2 linked regions of the Arabidopsis thaliana genome follow. The protein of the gene in region 1 interacts with the protein of each later gene in a pairwise test. Each region holds a gene or a part of one and is shown in the gene's direction. Other genes may lie near its edges.

Region 1 (3,933 bases):
TTGTGATTTGTTTTGCTAAAACACACGATAAGGTTGTGTTTTCATTATAAATAGCATATTTAACTATGTTATTATACATCATAATAGTATACATAAAGCAAAATGCAATATAAAAAAAAAAAGTTAAGCTCTATATAATTAGATATCTATTGGAAAAAGAATTTTCCATAAGACACATCTGTTTTTGCTTAAATTAGCGATCATATATTTATTTTTATAAAGGAAGCATAGATAGTCGCTATAGGTTATACCCCGATCGACTATATACACTCACCATCTACACAATTAGGCTATTGAATACATGTTTTTACGTACATTTAAGAATGGGCCTTATTAGCGATTATGTGTACATTATGAAAGTATATATTTCTTCTGTATACCAGAAAATGAATATACAATAATAACTTTAAACTTGAACCTCTTATTGTACAACTGTCCAAAGCCACCGTATTAATGGGCGTGGATGAGTAGGTGTAGCTTTTAATATGGCAACCAACATTATGATATCGTTCACATATAATCCTCAATTCTGTATTTCTAGTTCGCGTTGTAAGTTTCTAACACCTAGAACGCAGTCAGGACTGTAGTTTATCTTTTTATATATCTAATCAGGTCGTCTCTCGATTCGAAAGTCGGACTAGCTATTGCATTGCATGCACCCATATATATATGCATCATGTCAATTTTGCGACATCAGATAATATTGCTAATTTTGCATAAGAACGTGTAAGGATTTAGTAGCAACTAGCAATGAAGAGTGGGTGAAAGTTTTGAATTTCAACATTTGATATCGGTCATTTGTGTAAAAACAATATATAATAGTTTTCAGAGAAAATTACGGCGATACATATGTAGCTGAATTCTTGTACTATATATAAAGTTGAATTTGTAAAAGTGCTATGCGTTCTTATTTGTTATCAAGTTGATACGTTCTCATATTCCATAAGTGTTCTTTAACTCTTCTATTCATTTCGAACAAAACGAGATTTAGTAATCAAACGTTTACGTATACACTTTTCATCAAATTAAAATGAACAAATAGTAGTTAGCTTAGCTTGTCCAGAAAAAAAAAAGAAAAAGGAACAAATACTAGTAGGCTTTTGAGCTGGCTGCTTTTATTGAAGGGCCTTGCCAATTAACTTCAGAGACGAAGTAGATTGATGATAGATATTAACTTCTATCTCCATCTAACCAAATGCCAATAAATCATATCAGTCCTCTTCTCTGACAAATTTCGTTAGTTTATTACTACTAGCTACTTTATTTTATTGTTATGTATATACGGTTAAAACAGTAGATATCATGGCGTGCATAACTGCAAATGTTAAGAATATTTGTTAGCATTGTAATGGATTTCCGGTAAAATAATTACTTAAATATATACGGAGTGGACAAGAAATATAAGCCGACAAGTAGTGTGACTGACTATATTTTTTCCATAAAAACATTTAAGTTTCTCTTCTAACCATAATGTGATCCGCTTCAATTTTGGGTTGGTGGAGCCGTATACACGCACTGATTAATTCAGTTTCTTTTTTCAACCATAGCGTGTGTGTGAAACAAAAAAAAAGTATATGCATGCTCATCCTGCAATCTCTATAACAATAAAATTAACCATATTTGCGGATCAAAAGTTTCGTGTGTCAAAAGTTGTACGCATATGTCTCGTGCAATAACGTTGATGAGGGAAACAAAAAATAAAATTTGAATGCCGTTGTCGTATTAAGGAAAAAAAAGTCAATGTGTTTCAACCACCCTGCATGAAAAATATCATAAAGTGCCGCATAGACGAAAGTAACAACGAGAAGATGGACCATGACGACATTAAATAAATGATACACAATACAAAATAATAGGAACCGCCGAATCCAATTATTGTTGGTAAAAAAAAAAAAAACTAAACGTTAATTAATTCGGAAGTAATTATTACGATCAATCTTCAGAAAAATCTTTGATAAGACCATTATATAAACGAGAAGAAGTCTCACTATAATCATATCATCACCTTCCCCACTAATACTCTATAGTTTGTTTTTGTTCTTCTTATAATCTTTATATTTTCAGCAAACGAAAGGGAAGTGTGTCAGAAATCTCAGAGGGTGAGAATCCCAATGAGGATCTTACCCGAACCTCGAGGTTCGGTTCCGTGTCTTCTCCTTCTTGTGTCGGTTCTCTTATCAGCGACTCTCTCACTCGCTCGTGTCGTCGAAGTTGTCGGTTACGCCGAGAGCAAGATCAAAACCCCCCATGCATTTTCAGGTATCTCATAACTTACATTAATATCTTATGTACTATATAGTTTATTTTTTTGTGAATATATATTTGATCAATGTGTGATATTATTTGTTATAGGACTTCGAGTGACGATCGACTGTAAGGTGAATAAAGGCCATTTTGTTACAAAAGGTTCGGGAAACATTGACGACAAAGGAAAGTTTGGTCTTAATATTCCTCATGACATTGTCTCCGACAACGGAGCGTTAAAGGAGGAGTGTTACGCTCAGCTTCACAGCGCGGCGGGAACACCTTGTCCGGCTCACGACGGCCTTGAGTCCACCAAGATCGTGTTTTTATCCAAATCCGGGGATAAACACATTTTGGGTCTCAAACAAAATCTGAAATTTTCACCGGAGATTTGCGTTTCCAAATTCTTCTGGCCTATGCCTAAGTTGCCTCCTTTTAAGGGCTTTGATCATCCTTTCCCTTTACCTCCACCTTTGGAACTTCCACCGTTTCTCAAGAAGCCATGTCCACCTAAATACAGTCCTCCTGTGGAGGTTCCACCCCCGGTACCAGTTTACGAGCCGCCGCCAAAGAAAGAGATTCCCCCGCCGGTTCCGGTTTACGATCCACCGCCTAAGAAAGAGGTTCCACCACCTGTCCCAGTTTACAAGCCACCACCAAAGGTGGAGCTTCCACCGCCTATTCCTAAGAAGCCTTGTCCACCTAAACCGCCGAAGATAGAGCACCCACCTCCGGTTCCGGTTTACAAGCCACCGCCAAAGATAGAGAAGCCACCTCCGGTTCCGGTTTACAAGCCCCCGCCAAAGATAGAGCACCCACCTCCCGTTCCGGTACACAAGCTACCGAAGAAGCCATGTCCGCCTAAGAAAGTTGATCCACCGCCGGTGCCAGTCCACAAACCACCAACGAAGAAGCCTTGTCCGCCTAAGAAAGTTGATCCACCGCCGGTTCCAGTCCACAAGCCGCCGCCAAAGATAGTCATTCCACCGCCGAAGATAGAGCACCCACCTCCAGTTCCGGTTTACAAGCCGCCGCCGAAGATAGAGCATCCACCAATCTACATACCACCAATTGTGAAGAAGCCGTGTCCTCCGCCGGTACCAATATACAAACCACCGGTTGTGATCCCCAAGAAGCCATGCCCTCCGCCGGTACCAGTATACAAACCACCGGTAGTGGTGATTCCAAAGAAGCCATGTCCGCCACTTCCACAGCTCCCACCACTTCCAAAGTTTCCACCTCTTCCTCCTAAATACATTCACCACCCCAAGTTCGGGAAATGGCCTCCGTTGCCTCCACACCCTTGAGAAACATTAAATACGTATATATAGATATACGTATACTCATGTATAATCAACGTGTTTGCCTTTTTTTAATATTTTATCTTTGCATATGTTTTATATCTTGTTTCTTTTGTTGGCTTTGAGTTCTCTTTGTGTAGACTGGTTGTTTATATTCCCGCAATCTTCCAACAATAATATGGTAATGATACGTTTCTCTTTTATCATGAGATGATCAACAAGAATTTTGCGTTAAAGAGTCCTCGGGAGAAAAAACTTGCTTGCGTTTTCGCGCGCATAAACGTTTTTGACCATATTTTTGTCACTAAGCGACAACATATGGGAGATTAATATATACGTACATTTTTTGTAAAAAAGGTGAAAAAATGGGAGATGGTAAAAGAAAGGC
Region 2 (3,933 bases), on another chromosome or scaffold:
GTCTTTCTCAGTGTGTCAGAGGTAACATCATTCTCCTCAGTGGTATTTTCTACTTGATTGCTCAGCTTTTTGGCTCAGTCGCCGCGTATTTCCTCCTTATCTTTCCCACTGGTGACGAGGTAACATCACTTATTACACTTATTGCCTTACTAAACCAGGTTAGTATTGTTTTCAATTTGATTTTAGTTGTAATTTCGATTATTGGTTTTTTTCTTCTTCTCTATTTTCTTCACAGTTGTTATTAACCAAGAATAGTAAATATTTAAGATTCGTATAATACAATAATGTTTCTATTATATTTATAATTTCAAGCTGAGACTAATGTTAATATTTAGATATTTTAAATAGAAAATCATATGTTTAGTAAATATTTACCAGGTAATGGAAGATTTGTGTTGGCAAAACCAACCAAGTGAGCGTAATTGTAAACTTTAAACCCAATCGCCTATGTCTATAATCATAATAATTTAATATCTTTAATAACACCATACCAACATATATGAACTTCATACGTTAAAAAATAACTTGAAAGAATCACAATCGTTATAATTTACCGTTTATTTTTCTTCCTATCATTTTATAAAAAACAACTATATTTTCTAATTGATCGACACACATTTCACCAGCTAAATTTGTTATGAAATCAACATGTTAGAGGATTTGTTACAAATTTAAGGTTAATAGTGCTCAAGAAAATATTTAAAAATATAGAAAGAGTGATGGTTGAAGTTCTTACTTATGATAGGTTCATATGTTGAATTAATTACTAATTATATTTTACTTATTTTAATAAGTCTAGGTGGCAAGCTCTCATGTGCTGATGTGTCAAGTTGTGGGAGAGAGTTGAGCTCCTTTCATATATATAATTTACGTTATATTTTGCCTCTTAAGTTTTGTAGTGACCATCATAATTTCTCTTTTGATGTCTTTGTGGGCAAATGAGGTAATCTAGAAAGAAATTACATGGATGAAGATGATATAGAACATACGAGATCTGATGAATGACAGATTACTATAGTTTTTCTTTTCCCTAGTTAATGTTGTTAATAAGGGGATAATTTTGCTAAATTTGGTAAAAGTACATGAATTATATATGATATGTGATTTAGTCAAGAAAAATTATGTGAACCTGATTAGATTTTACCATGTCTCAGGTTTTCAAGAATGCAATTTTTATTTCCATGGACTAGTTGAAATAGTTACCTATAAAATATCTTATGACATAAATCGATCTAGATATGATCTACATACAATTAGAACGCTTAAACGTGGAAACTTAATTGATGATATGCTTTATGGTGATCAAGAAGAAGATATCAACAAAGTGTTGAGATACTAACAAAAATAGTTTTTTTTTCTTGTTGTTATAAATATTGAGTCAGACTTTAAGTTACACGTATTTGCAAACTATAGTTTTGTGTTAGTTTTTTTGATATCAACACATTTCTATTTATTTGGCAACAAAATACTTTTCATAAGAGCATTTCTATGTCATATATTATAATTTATGTGATAAAGATAAAGATCACGATTTCCCGATTGACAAAGAAAATCTTATGAAATATGGAAAACATGATATGAAACACATCATATGTTTCTCATTCGTCAAGTATTTTTTATATGATATATAAAACTTTCTTTCTTTCTAGAATCCATGGCTCTTGTATAAGGTAGATTGTCTAACTCGTTACTCTAGATAGTATATTATATGAAATTTGTTTCGTAAATATTTTTCCTTAAGATTGGACTACCAATTATGAAGTAATATTTTAACTAATGTGTGGTTGACAAAATATAGAAAAAATCAAGAATCCAACCACATGTTGAGAAAAAAAATTTCTACTTCAAATACACTTACTTATTTTTATTATTTAGTCAACGAAATATTAATTTATTTATGGACATATTTTTAAAAATACCATAAAATTAATTTTTGTTATAAAACATTATTAGTAGTTTATATTTTTTTGAAAGTACCACTAAAATATATTATTTTCTGAAAATACCACAAAATTACTTTTAAAGTTTTCAAAACTAGATCCTAAACTCTAAAAAATAAACCCTAAACCCCAAAAAACTTAACTCAAACCCAAACATTTAATAAATTATAAACCCTTAAAATCAACTTTTTGTGTTTCAAGTATTTTTTGGGTATCTCTCTAATTTATTTATTTATTTCAGATTGCTCAAAAGAATAAATAAATAAAAGAATTTGGCTGTCTCATTTCCTTGTTCGGAATCGGAGAAGAAGGAAGACTAGATTCGATGTGTTGGTGAAGAAGATCTCGACTTTGTTCAAAATTCCAATTTCGCTCGCCTCAAAGATCATTCTCTCATCTTCTCGACTTTGATGCGATTGATTAAATATGGTGGATACGGTTATTCCCGGAGATATGGCTTGTTTGGATGCAGATTTGTTGCAGCTTCAGGAAATGTCTTCCTTTGTTCTCAATTCTAAACCTGGATTCACTCAGAAGCTCTTCGACCAGTGGCTTTCTCTTCCCGAAGCTCAGCGACAGGTTTCTGCTTTTTCACTATTCTTACACTCATGCTTCTTAGCTTACTCTCTGTTAGTTCGAATCTTTCTTTCGTAATGTTACAATGATACTTCGGTTGCTTACTTACTCTGTGGTGTTGAGGATTGGTGTAAAGTTTGAATCTTTCTTTGATACTGTTAGTGGGTATTACAGTGATGCCTTAGGTGGTTACTGATATTTGGTTGCTTAATTACTCTCTGGTTTCTGTTGAGGATTGGTGTAAAGTTGGGATCTTTGATAGTGTTAGTTATTACAATGATGCTTAGCTTACTGAGAATGGTGTAAAGTTCGAATATTTCTCTGATTGTGTTAGTGAGTATTATAATGATGCCTTAGGTGGTTACTTAGATTCGGTTGCTTAATTACTCTGTGGTGTAAAGTTCGTATCTTTCTTTGATAGTGTTGGTGAGTGTTACATTGATGCTTAGGTTACTGAGATTTACTCTGTGGTGTTGAAAGATTGGTGTAAAGTTTGAATCATTTTTTGATTCTGTGAGTTATGACGTATATTCTTATTTTCTTATGTGAGTATTACAATGAAGCTTACGTTAATGAGATTTGTTTGCTAAATTACTCTGTGGTGTTGAAGATTGGTGTAAAGTTTGAATCTTTCTTGGATTGTGTGAGTTATGACAATGATGCCTTAGGTGGTTAATGAGATTTGGTTGCTTAATTACTCTCTATTCACTGGAATCTCTAGTCTAATCTTTTTCTCGTTGGTTTTCTAGGTTGGATCATTGCTTAAGGATGCTGTAGCTGGAGCTCCTATCAATGTTACTGGAAGTGCATCGGGTTCTAATTCTGCCACTATACCATCTATGTTTCCTGCGGGAAGTGCTCCTCCGCTTTCACCAAGGAGTTGTGGTTCACCCCGTACAACCAAACAGAGAGCCCCTTCTAACTTAGGTTCTACTCTCAAAGTAGTCAACGAGCCTGTTAAAGAGCCTATACCTCAGGTTTCTTTTCCTCTTTTTCTTCCTTCTTTATATATATATAGTAATGGAATGGAGTTAACTCACTGATTTCTTAACTTGAAATGATTCTAGTTTTATTTCCAAAATGGTCGCCCTCCACCAAGCGAGATTAAAGAGCAATGTATGTTTAGAATCAATCACTTCTTTTATGGTCACATGGATGGCTTGCAGATACAAGGTTAGAAGTCAGTCATTTGTTTTCTACTAATTATATTTGAACTGTTTATTAACTTTTTTCTCCATTTTCAATCAATACTCAGAATTCAAGTTAGTCACCAGAGAAATCTGCAAGCTCCCATCTTTCTTCTCCACTTCCCTTTTCCGGAAGATCGATCTCAACAATACAGGTTTTGTTACTAGGTGTGTGCCGCTTCTTCTATGCTTTTTTTTTTTTTGTATGGTGCTTCCTCTTCATGTCTGCA

What was found.
Region 2: the proteins of PRP4 (region 1) and AT5G28900 interact in a two-hybrid assay, tested with the Arabidopsis thaliana proteins (one large-scale study listed by BioGRID).

Annotation. Positions count from the first base shown.
Region 1 is NC_003075.7:18,096,627-18,100,559, reverse strand, and holds the start of PRP4 (proline-rich protein 4), read left to right. Parts: upstream 1-1,926; 5' UTR 1,927-2,111; coding exon 2,112-2,259; intron 2,260-2,352; coding exon 2,353-3,551; 3' UTR 3,552-3,933. Other genes in the region: AT4G38775 (uncharacterized protein), read right to left, coding at 2,693-2,754, 2,802-2,856, 2,878-2,922, 2,953-3,099.
Region 2 is NC_003076.8:10,923,486-10,927,418, forward strand, and holds the start of AT5G28900 (Calcium-binding EF-hand family protein), read left to right. Parts: upstream 1-2,149; 5' UTR 2,150-2,366; coding exon 2,367-2,519; intron 2,520-3,265; coding exon 3,266-3,493; intron 3,494-3,583; coding exon 3,584-3,689; intron 3,690-3,771; coding exon 3,772-3,871; intron 3,872-3,933.